Linked DNA regions of Mus musculus: all the other regions are reported to be linked to region 2. The links are microRNA targets in miRTarBase. Many come from high-throughput screens and were not tested one by one. Region 2 holds a microRNA gene; each other region holds the end of a gene's coding sequence.

The links. Region 2 holds the annotated microRNA mmu-miR-1187 (UAUGUGUGUGUGUAUGUGUGUAA, at 2,713-2,735, shown strand). A microRNA usually pairs through its seed, bases 2 to 8, with sites in the 3' UTR of a target mRNA and lowers its output. Matches are read on the target gene's strand: a 7mer-m8 pairs with bases 2 to 8, a 7mer-A1 pairs with bases 2 to 7 and ends in A, and an 8mer does both.
Region 1: the mRNA of Cd200r1 is a reported target of mmu-miR-1187. Seed matches in the 3' UTR shown: 7mer-m8 at 1,004-1,010.
Region 3: the mRNA of Lin7a is a reported target of mmu-miR-1187. The part of its 3' UTR that is shown has no 7-base or 8-base seed match.

The regions. Positions count from the first base shown.
Region 1 is chr16:44,793,746-44,797,745 of GRCm38, forward strand. Cd200r1 (CD200 receptor 1) reads left to right here. Exons shown (of 7, transcript NM_021325.3): 7 at 455-1,232. The coding sequence ends at 595. Among named protein-coding and RNA genes, the nearest start is that of Cd200r4, 25 kb to the right of the region's middle.
Region 2 is chr5:82,797,340-82,801,698 of GRCm38, reverse strand. It overlaps Mir1187 (microRNA 1187), which reads left to right and starts at 2,634; the gene lies at 2,634-2,755.
Region 3 is chr10:107,411,553-107,415,911 of GRCm38, forward strand. Lin7a (lin-7 homolog A (C. elegans)) reads left to right here. Exons shown (of 6, transcript NM_001039354.1): 5 at 401-619. The coding sequence ends at 619. Among named protein-coding and RNA genes, the nearest start is that of Myf5, 72 kb to the right of the region's middle.

The DNA of each region.
Region 1 (4,000 bases), not on the chromosome of region 2:
TCATCTGATAAACTGTATCTTAACAACTTTGCCAAATTTGGATTGTAATCTCTGGAGAAATCCAGTAGATGTTTCCTTCTCCATGAAACAGTGTCTAATTCTCCACTTCCCCATTTAAACACCACTATAATATTTCTCTTATCTAAGCTTAAAGCAGCCTGCTCCTTAGTCTCCTATGACCAGCTTCTTATTTTCTTTGACTCATTCTTTTGAAATACTTCTTATATCACCTCATTCCTCTACATGTCTATATTCACCCAACAACCATTTCACACAAAATATAAATAACCATCAAATGTTTGTGATAGATTATTAGAACAAAGCCTTGATCTTCTGAGGCAGATAAACAGTTTTAAACATTATTAGTAGATGCTAAATGTGGTAGAAACTTGGGTAATTTTGGTAATGATGTCTAGCTCTTTTGAATGGATTTTAACTTTGAGCTTTCTTCAAGGATGAAATGCAGCCTTATGCTAGCTATACAGAGAAGAGCAATCCACTCTATGATACTGTGACTAAGGTGGAGGCATTTCCAGTATCACAAGGCGAAGTCAATGGCACAGACTGCCTTACTTTGTCGGCCATTGGAATCTAGAACCAAGAAAAAAGAAGTCAAGAGACATCATAATTACTGCTTTGCTTTCTTTAAAATTCGACAATGGAAGGACTACTTGGAAATTAGCTCTTCCAAAGCTATTAAAAAGCACAAATGTTCTAATGAAATTGCATTTAAATTCTATCATTGGAAGTTTGGAATCTCTGCTGCTACCTGTTAATTTTAGGAAGAACTGATTTAATTATTACAAAGAAAGCACATGGTTATGGTGAAATATCAAGTTGTGCAATAAAGTATGATGAAAACTGAGTTTCCTCAAGAAATAACTGCAGGAGGAACAATCATCACTAAAGAATTTCATGTGAGTTCTTACAAAAAAATTCCTATGTATACATGACTATGGTATGTGTGTCCAATTACATGTTTATTTACAAATGTGTATATATGCACACATTTGCTTTTCAGGACATCTCCTTGTAAAAAACACACTGGAGTTTTGGATTTATAAAAGCTTATAAAGTGAGCATTGGAGATATTTTTATATCAGCATAAGTAAATCTACCTCATTCTTTTTAATGGCTACATAGAATTCTCCTGTATGATTACATTGTAATTTAATTAATCATGGCCCTTGGATTTTGTGTTGTGTGTGGTATTAAACAAAACCATGTAGAATATTTGTTGTGGTGAATCTCTGCATTATTTGAGTGCACCTGTGAGATAATTTCTTTGAGTGTAATGGTCCTGTCAGTTGGAATGCATTTTTATTATTATTTTTTTCCCATTTTTATTAGGTATTTAGCTCATTTACATTTCCAATGCTATACCAAAAGTCCCCCATACCCACCCATCCCCACTCCCCTACCCACCCACTCCCCCTTTTTGGCCCTGGCGTTCCCCTGTACTGGGGCATATAAAGTTTGCGTGTCCAATGGGCCTCTCTTTCCAGTGATGGCCAACTAGGCCATCTTTTGATACATATGCAGCTAGAGTCAAGAGCTCCGGGTACTCGTTAGTTCATAATGTTGTTCCACCTATAGGGTTGCAGATCCCTTTAGCTCCTTGGGTACTTTCTCTAGCTCCTCCATTGGGAGCCCTGTGATCCATCCATTAGCTGACTGTGAGCATCCACTTCTGCGTTTGCTAGGCCCCGGCATAGTCTCACAAGAGACAGCTACATCTGGGTCCTTTCGATAAAATCTTGCTAGTGTATGCAATGGTGTCAGCGTTTGGATGCTGATTATGGGGTGGATCCCTGGATATGGCAGTCTCTACATGGTCCATCCTTTCATCTCAGCTCCAAACTTTGTCTTTGTAACTCCTTCCAAGGTTGTTTTGTTCCCACTTCTAAGGAGGGGCATAGTGTCCACACTTCAGTCTTAATTTTTCTTGAGTTTCATGTGTTTAGGAAATTGTATCTTATATCTTGGGTATCCTAGGTTTTGGGCTAATATCCACTTATCAGTGAGTACATATTGTGTGAGTTCCTTTGTGAATATGTTACCTCACTCAGGATGATGCCCTCCAGGTCCATCCATTTGGCTAGGAATTTCATAAATTCATTCTTTTTAATAGCTGAGTAGTACTCCATTGTGTAGATTTACCACATTTTCTGTATCCATTCCTCTGTTGAGGGGCATCTGGGTTCTTTTCAGCTTCTGGCTATTATAAATAAGGCTGCTATGCACATAGTGGAGCATGTGTCCTTCTTACCAGTTGGGGCATCTTCTGGATATATGCCCAGGAGAGGTATTGCTGGATCCTCTGGTAGTACTATGTCCAATTTTCTGAGGAACCGCCAGACTGATTTCCAGAGTGGTTGTACAAGCCTGCAATCCCACCAACAATGGAGGAGTGTTCCTCTTTCTCCACATCCTCGCCAGCATCTGCTGTCACCTGAATTTTTGATCTTAGCCATTCTGACTGGTGTGAGGTGGAATCTCAGGGTTGTTTTGATTTGCATTTCCCTGATGATTAAGGATGTTGAACATTTTTTCAGGTGCTTCTCTGCCATTCAGTATTCCTCAGGTGAGAATTCTTTGTTCAGTTCTGAGCCCCATTTATTAATGGGGTTATTTGATTTTCTGAAGTCCACCTTCTTGAGTTCTTTATATATGTTGGATATTAGTCCCCTATCTGATTTAGGATAGGTAAAGATCCTTTCCCAATCTGTTGGTGGTCTTTTTGTCTTATTGACGGTGTCTTTTGCCTTGCAGAAACTTTGGAGTTTCATTAGGTCCCATTTGTCAATTCTCGATCTTACAGCACAAGCCATTGCTGTTCCCCTGTGCCCATATCTTCGCATTTTTATTATTAATAGATCAGTCAAGCTGTCAGTTTACATTTTCTCCAATTGTGTTTGAATGTGCCTTTCTTCATATTCTTATTATTATTCTTATTCTTATTCTTATATTTTTATATTCTTACTTTCACATTTATACTTTCCATGTTTAATTAACCAGATGGGTGATATGTCTTACATTTATGATATTGACTCAATTATTTAATGGAACTGGACTCATATCTTTGTCAACATGAGAGAGACAGGAAGCATTTGTAATGACAGTATTTTCAACTCTTTGTATTGCTACAAAAGTGCTGCCATATCATGCACAACAGTTTTATGGACATTATGAATTGTGCATTTTTTTTAATTTTTAATTTTTTTTTGGTTTTTTGAGACAGGGTTTTTCTGTGTATCCCTGGCTGTCCTGGAACTCACTCTGTAGACCAGGCTGGCCTTGAACTCAGAAATTCACCTGCCTCTGCCTCCCAAGTGCTGGGATTAAAGGCGTGCGCCACCATGCCCGGCTTGAATTGTGCATTTTAAAAATTCTATTCTGATGTAATTATCAAAGAACAACTGTCTTTGAACTATATGTGTAGGTGGGAGAACTTGGAGAACTTTACATGCTAAAAGGATGGTAATGGGTTGAAAGTAACTTTTCCCTCCATTGTTCTTTGGATGGAAATATTGGGAGTACATATATTGGTAACTTTTAGCATATATATTTTCATTGTTAAAAATAAGCCTGTTCTCTTTATATCAGAAAAACTATTAAAATAGATTTATTCATCTTATTTTGTTTGCTTTGTTATTTTGAGATGAGGAGTTGATTTCTAAGGTAGTTCTACAATCACTCTAGAGCCCAGTCTGGCCTCCCAATGGCTATGGTTACAAATGTATGGAAGGATACTTGCACAAGTATTTTCATTATGATGTAATGATAGAATTAAACCAAGACCCATTCACTCTTCACATGTCCCAACTGAGACATTTAAGGCAATTATTTTGTCTACTAAAATATTTTTCTTTCCATTTGGGAAAATTACCTCTTTTTCTTCTTCCTATTCCTTCCACCCTACCCCACTACTTTGAAAGTTATGCATTATAACATATATGTATTCATGGCTAGGTTTTTGTGGTGGATTAAATAGGTTTGG
Region 2 (4,359 bases):
ATAAAGTTTGTGTGTCCAAAGGGCCTCTCTTTTCAGTGATGGCCGTCTAGGCCATCTTTTGATACATATGCAGCTAGAGTCAACAACTACGGGTTACTGGTTAGTTCATATTGTTGTTCCACCTATAGGGTTGCAGATCTCTTTAGCTCCTTGGATACTTTCTCTAGCTCCTCCATTGGGGACCCTGTGATCCATCCAATAGCTGACTGTGAGCATCCACTTCTGTGTTTGCTAGGCCCCGGCCTAGTCTCACAAGAGACAACTATATCAGGGTCATTTCAGCAAACACTTGCTAGTGTATGCAATGGTGTCATCGTTTGGAGGCTAATTATGGGATGGATCCCTGGATATGGCAGTCTCTAGTTGTTCCATCCTTTTGTCTCAGCTCCAAACGAGTAGTTATTAAGAGCTGGAAATGGACAAAGAAAACTCAGTTCAGTTATCATGGACAGCTGGGGAGTTCCAGTAATACTGTACCACTAAGATAAAACTAGTTAGGACATGGAGCTTGGATAAAGAAAAGAATCCCAGGTTAACTTAAGAAGAAGAACAAGTCTAGGGAAATTACTGTGATATGATAATGGTAAGGAGATCCTAACTTCGGAATCTAATTGGATTATCTTGCCAGCTGACAGTCAAAATACAAACTTAGTCATACTTGGTCAAACTTGACTAGGTACTGTCAATATTCTCTCTCTCTCTCTCTCTCTCTCTCTCTCTCTCTCTCTCTCTCTCTCTCTCCCTCTCCCCACCTCTCTCTCTCTCTCTCTCTCTCTCTCTCTCTCTCCCTCTCCCCACCTCTCTCTCTCTCTCTCTCTCTCTCTCTCTCTCTCTCTCTCTCTCTCTCTCTCTCTCTCTCTCTCTCCCCCTCTCCCCACCTCTCTCTCTCTCTCTCTCTCCTCCTGTCCTGGGGTATATAATCTTTGCAAGACCAAGGGCCTCTCCTACCATTGATGGCCTACTAGGCCATCCTCTGCTACATATGCAACTACAGATATACTCTCAGGGGTACTGGTTAGTTCATATTGTTTTTATCCTATAGGGATGCAGGCCTCTTCAGCTCCTTGGGTACTTTCTCTAGTTCTTTCATTGAGGCCCCTGTGTTCCATCCAATAGATGACTGTGAGCATCCACTTTTGTATTTGCCAGGCACTGGCATAGCCTCGCAAGTGATAGCTATATCAGGGTCCTGTCAGCTAAATCTTGCTGGCATATGCAATAGTGTCTAGGTTTGGTGGTTGTATATGGAATGGATCCCCAGGTGGGGCAGTCTCTGGATGGTCCTGTTTTCAGGCTCTGATCTGATCTTTGTCTCTGTAACTCCCTCCATGAGTATTTTCCCCCCTTCTAAGAAGGAATGAAGTATCCACACTTTGGTCTTCCTTCTCCTTGAGTTTCAAGTGTTTTGCCAATTTTATCTTAGGTAGTCTTAAGTTTCTCAGTTAATATCCACTTAACAGTGAGTGCATATCATGTGTGTCCTTTTGAGATTGGGTTACTTCACTCAGGATGATATCCTCCAGATATATACATTAGCCTAAGAATTTCATAAATTCTTTGTTTTTAATTGCTGAGTAGTACTCTATTGTGTAAATGTACCACATTTTCTGTATCCATTCCTTTGTTGAGGGATATCTGGGTTCTTTCCAGCTTCTGGCTATTATAAATAAGGCTGCTATGAACATAGTGTACCATGTGTCCTTATTACAAGTTGGAACATCTTCTGGGTATATGCCCAGGAAAGGTATTGCTGGATCTTCTGGTAGTACTATGTCCAATTTTCTGAGGAACCACCAGACTGATTTCCAGAGTGGTTGTACCAGCTTGCAATCACACAAACAATGGAGGAGTGTTCCTCTTTCTCAACATTCTCACCATCTGCTGTCACCTGAATTTTTGATCTTAGCCATTCTGACTGATATGAGGTAACATCTCAGGGATGTTTTGATTTGCATTCCCCTGATGTTTAAGAATGCTGAACATTTTTTCAGGTGCTTCTCAGCCATTTGGTATTCCTTAGTTGAGAATTCTTTGGTTTAGCTCTGTACCCCATTTTTAATAGGGTTATTTGATATTCTGGAGCCCTTTTTCTTCAGTTCTTTATATATATTGGATATTAGCCCCCTATCTGACTTAGGATTGGTAAAGATCCTTTCGCAATCTGTTGGTGGCCTTTTTGTCTTATTGGCAGTGTCTTTTGCCTTACAGAAGCTTTACAATTTTATGAGGTCCCATTTGTTGATTCTCGATCTTACAGCACAAGCCATTGCTGTTCTGTTCAGGAACTTTCCCCCTGTGCCCATATCTTTGAAGTTTATCCCCACTTTCTCCTCTATGTGTTTCAGTGTTAGGTGGAGTTCCTTGATCCACTTACACTTGAGGTTTGTACAAGGAGATAAGAATGGATCAATTCGCATTCTTTTACATGCTACCTGCCAGTTATGCCAGCACCATTTGTTGAAAATGCTGTCTTTTTTCCACTGGATGGTTTTAGTGCTCTTGTGAAGTTCAAGTGACCATAGGTGTGTGGGTCCATTTCTAGGTCTTCATTTCTCTCTCTGTCTCTCTCTGTCTCTCTCTGCCTCTTTCTTTCTTTCTTTCTTTCTTTTTTTTTCTTTTGTGTGTAGTATCTGTCATATAGTATTAAACCGAACTGTTTTCCTTATAGACACAATTTATTTTTACACACACACACACACACATATATATATATATGTGTGTGTGTATGTGTGTAAATAACAATGTTAAAATAGTAATGAGCCATGCTTAAGATCTGAGCATATGTAGCCTTCCACTGTGATACTTTTCATTTCCTGATATTTTCTGGTGATCTCACAAAGAAGAGTGTAAGATTATTTACCAAGAGAACATCCGAACTCCCTTAACTATTCTGGGCTACTTTTTACTTTTATTTTGCAAGCTCTAATTGTACTTAATTCCTGGCAATCACCCTATGATTTCACTTAAATCTCTATTAGCAAAACTTTGAGATATCCTTCAGTTGTCAGTATGGTAGCATAAGGCTCTTACAAAAAAATTAAGCTGATTCCCGAGAAGTCAACATTCAGACATTGGTGCAATCTTTTTCCCTAATAATTATTTTTTCTAATCAAGCCTGTGTTTAAATTTATGTTACAGCATTTCCTCAACACAGATCAACACTTCTTGATAATGGTTTATTTTAAAGTTAATTTTTATGACCAAAATACTGGCTTCACTTTAGTTGAGGTACAAAAACATTAAGTTCACATTTTAGCATTTTTTTCTCAGATACTATAAAAGATTGATAAGGAATTAAAATATTTTCATCTCCCCATCAATACAAATGCTAAATTCACCACTGAGTTAAAACTTTATTTGCATAAGATCCCTGCTTAATATTAGACCTTAAATGATTAGGCTGTTGACCCCTTCCAGCTTTCCAACTTATTTTTTTCACTTCTTTTTTTTTAAGATTAATTTGTATATTTTATCTATGTGTGTATACTTCTGCTCTCTTCAGACACACCAGAAGAGATTCCATTACAGATGGTTTTGAGCCATCATGTGGTTGCTGGGAATTGAACTCAGGACCTCTAGAAAAGCAGTCAGTGTTCTTAACCAAGCATCCATCTCTCCTGCCCCCCTCCTTTTTGTTTTACTTCTATTCTTTTAAATATATCAATCATGAAAGACTGAAATGATACCTCTGCCAATGGGGAAGCAACACAGCCATCATCTCTGTTAGAATAAAAATCAAGAGGAGTATGAGCCTGACTATGAACCTGGCTTTTGTTCCAGGACAAAGCATGTTGCATAAGCAATTGTCTTGCTTTCTTTCAAGATTATTATTTGATTCTTACAGAGGTCTCTGAGAACTCAGACTGTACAGGAGTTAGGATAGTGCTGACTCCAACCTAAGAACCTTAACAGTGTTTATTCATAGCAGGGCTTTCAAAATCAGAGTCAACTCTCAAATATTCCTTCACTGAGCAATTAAACTTTAACATTTTCAGTCCTCGTGATGTTGACGATTTTCATCAGTGAATTCTGTCCTTAAAAATTTTGTTTTGCTCATTCATCACACATTTGTTGAAGTTTTCCATATGTCTATGTTAATGAAAAATTTATTCTAGCTAGCCCATATAAATGACACAGAAACGTGGTATTTTATTTATGCACTTCTCCTGGCCACTTGCTCATGGTCCAGCTCCATGGATCACAGCCTTCCCTCTCCATCTTCCTCTCTTTCTCACCCATAGTCTCTCTAGTGACCCCTCACTTAATTTCCACTCAAGCCATGCCTTCCTCTCTCTTCTGCCCATTCACAGCCTCTAACTTTTAATTAAACAATAGCTTTAAATTGAGGAGCAACATTTA
Region 3 (4,359 bases), not on the chromosome of region 2:
GTTGACCTTGAACTTGCTATATAGCCATATATATGACTTAAGCACCTTATGTTCCTGCCTCATGATTAGCATCTGCCACCAAGGTTGCATGTGGTATTGAACACAGAACCTAGGGCAGCTTTCATGTTAGGCAAGCACCCTACAAACTGGCATACAACACCAGACCCTTGATTTTGACTTTTTTTTTTAAATACAGTTTTCACATCGTATGTTAGGCTGACCTGAAGCCTACAGTGCACCCCAGGCTGACTTCGAACTCTCAGCCACTCTCCTATTTCAGTCTTATAAGTATTGGAATTTATGGACAAAAGCGTCAGAGGTTTGGGTTTTTACTAGGATAACAATCCTAGATTAGTCCCTGGAGGAAACAAATGAGTGAACTCTCTCCATGTCTTCTCAGAGTGTGGAAGGGGAGCACCATGAGAAAGCTGTGGAACTTCTCAAGGCTGCTAAGGACAGTGTGAAGCTGGTGGTCAGATACACCCCAAAAGTCCTGGAAGAGATGGAGGCTCGTTTCGAGAAGCTGCGGACAGCTCGGCGTCGACAGCAGCAGCAGTTGCTCATTCAGCAGCAGCAACAGCAGCAGCAACAACAACCACAACAAAACCACATGTCATAGGTGAGACTCACCCTCCTCCTCCCCGTGTACACGCTCCTGACATCCTAACGGTCGCCCTAGTCAGCCAACATAAAATTGCCAAGCATAGTAAACACCCAAGGACAATTAACCGAAAGAAAGATGATGATATTCGAAAAAGTAAACAGGTTGTCCTGTTTCCATGAGTCATTCAGCTACAGTCTCCGCATATGGAAGATAATTTTGGAAAATATAATGCTATGGGAGAGGTACCTGCTAACTCCAGGATGCCTGTTTATAAACTATGATAATGCTATTTTTTTTTTGCCAGATCTATACATGAATGGCAAGGTGATTCTAGTCCCCACTCATCCCCTTAGCTAGTCGTCACTTTCACGGAGTATACAAACTGCGCTACTCTATGGTGCTATTCCTGGCTACTTTAGATTAGAAAGATGCAGTGGATTAAGAAGTTGTTGCACATGAAGAGTGCGATGGCAAAGCAAACAGTTAACACAGCGTGAGACACTGAAGGGTTGGAATTCTATCTGACTCTCCTACCTTCTCCCAAATCCCACTGCACAACACAGTGACATACATATCCAGTTTTGTGGATATTTTCAAGAAAACTGAAGAAAAATGTGTTAATATCAAAAGTCCCCCCCCCCCCGAAGTGCCTACTATGTGTCAGTGACACCCTCATCACATAACGCTTCATCCTCTGAAGAACGTTTCAAGAAATTTACCATTAAAGACACATCTCTGGGATGAGCAGTCTAAAGCTTCCTTCAGCCACCATTGACATGTGGCTTGGAATCAGGGTTCTCCTCCTGCCACTCTCAGATCCTCTGAAGTCATTTTTATATGTTTGCCAAACTATTCATTGGAAAAGATCAATTCGATCAGAATGCATTTGTGTACCAGGATGTCTTTAAGTGTGTCTTGGGAAGGACATTCACACGTTCTTGGGAAAGTGGCAACAGATGTTGGGTGGTTTTCAGTTTTCCTTACTGAAAACTTACTGTTTGCTTAGCAGAAATAGTGATCATGACATGAGACATGCTTCTTTTTTAATGACACTTGTGGAAAAAGAAAAGCTATATAGTGCGTGTTTTTGGTTGTTGGTCTTTCTTTTGTTTTTATGTATATTTGGGGACTGGAGAGATGGCTCAGTAGGTAAGAGCACTTAATGCTTTTCCAGTGGACCTGGGTTTGGTTCCCAAAACTCACACCAGAGAGCTCACAACCACCTGTAATTCTAACTCCAGGAGTTATGATGCCCTCTTCTGGCTTTTGTTGGTACATCACACACATAGTACACATGAGCATTAGACACATGTAGATGTACACACACTCACACAACACACACAATACATAGGAAGATAGATAGGTAAGAGAGAGAGAGAGAGAGAGAGAGAGAGAGAGAGAGAGAGAGAGAATGAGAAAATACATATACATACATATATTTTTTTTAATTATATTCCGTCCCCAAAAGTATATTAACCCAACATCAGATGTCTTTGTCCTTTGGCAGAGCTGCATCCAGGTACTGTCCAGGAGCTCCAGGGGTAACCTTCTCTTCATGAGGCTACATTCTGCTAGGAGGGGATAATTAATAAATAAGCAAGAAAATAAGCCAACGGCCTTTTGAGAGCAGGACTTTAAAAAATTAAAACAAGGCTGTTTGAATGGAGACTACCTTAGACACAGTTGTCGGTGAACACCCCTCTCAAAGGACATAGCATCTGAGAGGAAGCCGAGTAGGAGAAGCACCCAAAGAAATAATAAGAGAAAATAGCCAGTATGGTAGCATATGAGCTCTTTGATATTTGAACAACTAACAGATAGCCTAGAGAGCTGAGAATAATGAGTAATAATGATAGTGGTGGATTATGAAGTCAAAAGGACAAGTAGGGACTGGGTACAGAAAGCCTAGCAACACTAAGAGAAATTAATGTTTTTGTAATGGAGGACAAGATTTTTAAGCCAAAGGGTGGCATGATTTGATTTATGTGCCATTAAGATAATTTGGCTTCCTGTTTTTGTGACCCTTGTCTTCCTACTGGATTCCATGTCCAGTTTCAACACAAGTGGTAGTTTGGGGGAGGGGGATCATTGCCTAATCTTACTGCAGCTTAATTTGCCATGTTTAGTTGATATCCCTGGGAGGCCTGTCATTTTCTGAGGGGGAAAAGGAGAAAGAACAGATTGGGAAAAGAGATGGGGGTGATAGAGGAGGTGGGAGGACAGATGAAGGGAGGGGGACTGTGGTCAGGACATAATATATGAGAGAATAAATTAAATTAAAAGAATAATTTGGCTTCTGTGACAATGGAGAATTACAGGGTCATAAATGAAATAGAGAGAGATGGAATGGCTTAGAATAGAATGATGAGGTTGGGACAGACACCATTAATAGATACCATTAATAGGCAAGTCATTTAGCCTAAAGCCTTCTCCTTAGTTACCTATTCTGTACCACAAGCATCCTAACAAAAGTCCTCTGGATAATAGGGGAAATCTCTGATGTATCCCTAATATTCTTTCTGCTAGTACTATTGTTTATTCCATCCCTGGTAATGCAAGCTATTCATCCCTCTTCTCCAGAATTATTTATGACATTAGCCCTGAGTAAATGTGCTCAGGGGTAGTTTGAAAGCAACAGGTTGATCTCTTAGACCTCACTGAAAACTGCCATGTTTTACTCCTCCCATTATCTTTGGAAATACACAATTTGGTCATATGTAGCCTTTTGTATTTCTATTCCCTGTTCAGTCTTCATTAAGTCACCTCAGGATTTCCTATGGCCCATTACCAAGACTTACATATTTAATCAGAAAAAAAACCTGTCCTATCTTGTTGTGTACGTAGGATGTGGTAGAGTTATGTTCGCTTGAACATGACCTTTGTATCTATGCCCATCAAGAGAGCTACTGTACAGCACAGTGCCTACCCCCTTGAGATTAAATGGTAATGATCATGTGAAGAACAATCAAGACTTACCAAAGGCATGTCACCCATGGATTTTATGGTGAATTCAGTCAAAAGGACCTACATTAGCTCTTGCTTAATTTTTTATTAACTTGATCTTTAGAGGGTCAAAAAAGACTTACAACACTTAATAATTTATACTAGTTGGTTTTTTATATTTTTTTCAGGCTTACCAAATCTATTCAACTGGAAACAAATCTTGAATTTTTTTTGGTCTACATTCAAAGACCACATAATCAAAATACTTGTCAGAAGACCATCTCACTATGTATCAAATGAAATAGAACATGTAATGCTTTCAAAATAAGAAGTAGTATGTGCTGAGAATATAGATATTATGAAGTCACTACAAGCGGGAAGCAGATAAAAAAGAAAACCATATTGAATGTAAGCCATACAGGAGAGAATTGTCTTTTTATACCTTCTTGAGTTTTAAATTCTGCTGAACTAAAATCTGTTTTTCATTCTCACTTCTGTGTTTGTTAAGTGAGAAGACTAGATTGCATTTCCAAAAATGCAAAAACAGGAATATTCTGCCATTACATTAAAGAAATCCAAACAGAAAATATGATTATAGGGCTGGCCATCACATAGCATGCTTTTTGAGAAAGTGCTATGTTTATTTGGTTTATATGGATTTGTTTAGTTTTAAGACATGACTTCATGTATGCATTTGGATTTTCACTCTGATTTTCAAGGATTAAAAAAAAAAAGAGGAACACTAACACTTTTCAGACATTAATTTTCCAAAAAAACATCCTGAGACCAACGCCTGATCCTGCCCTCCACTG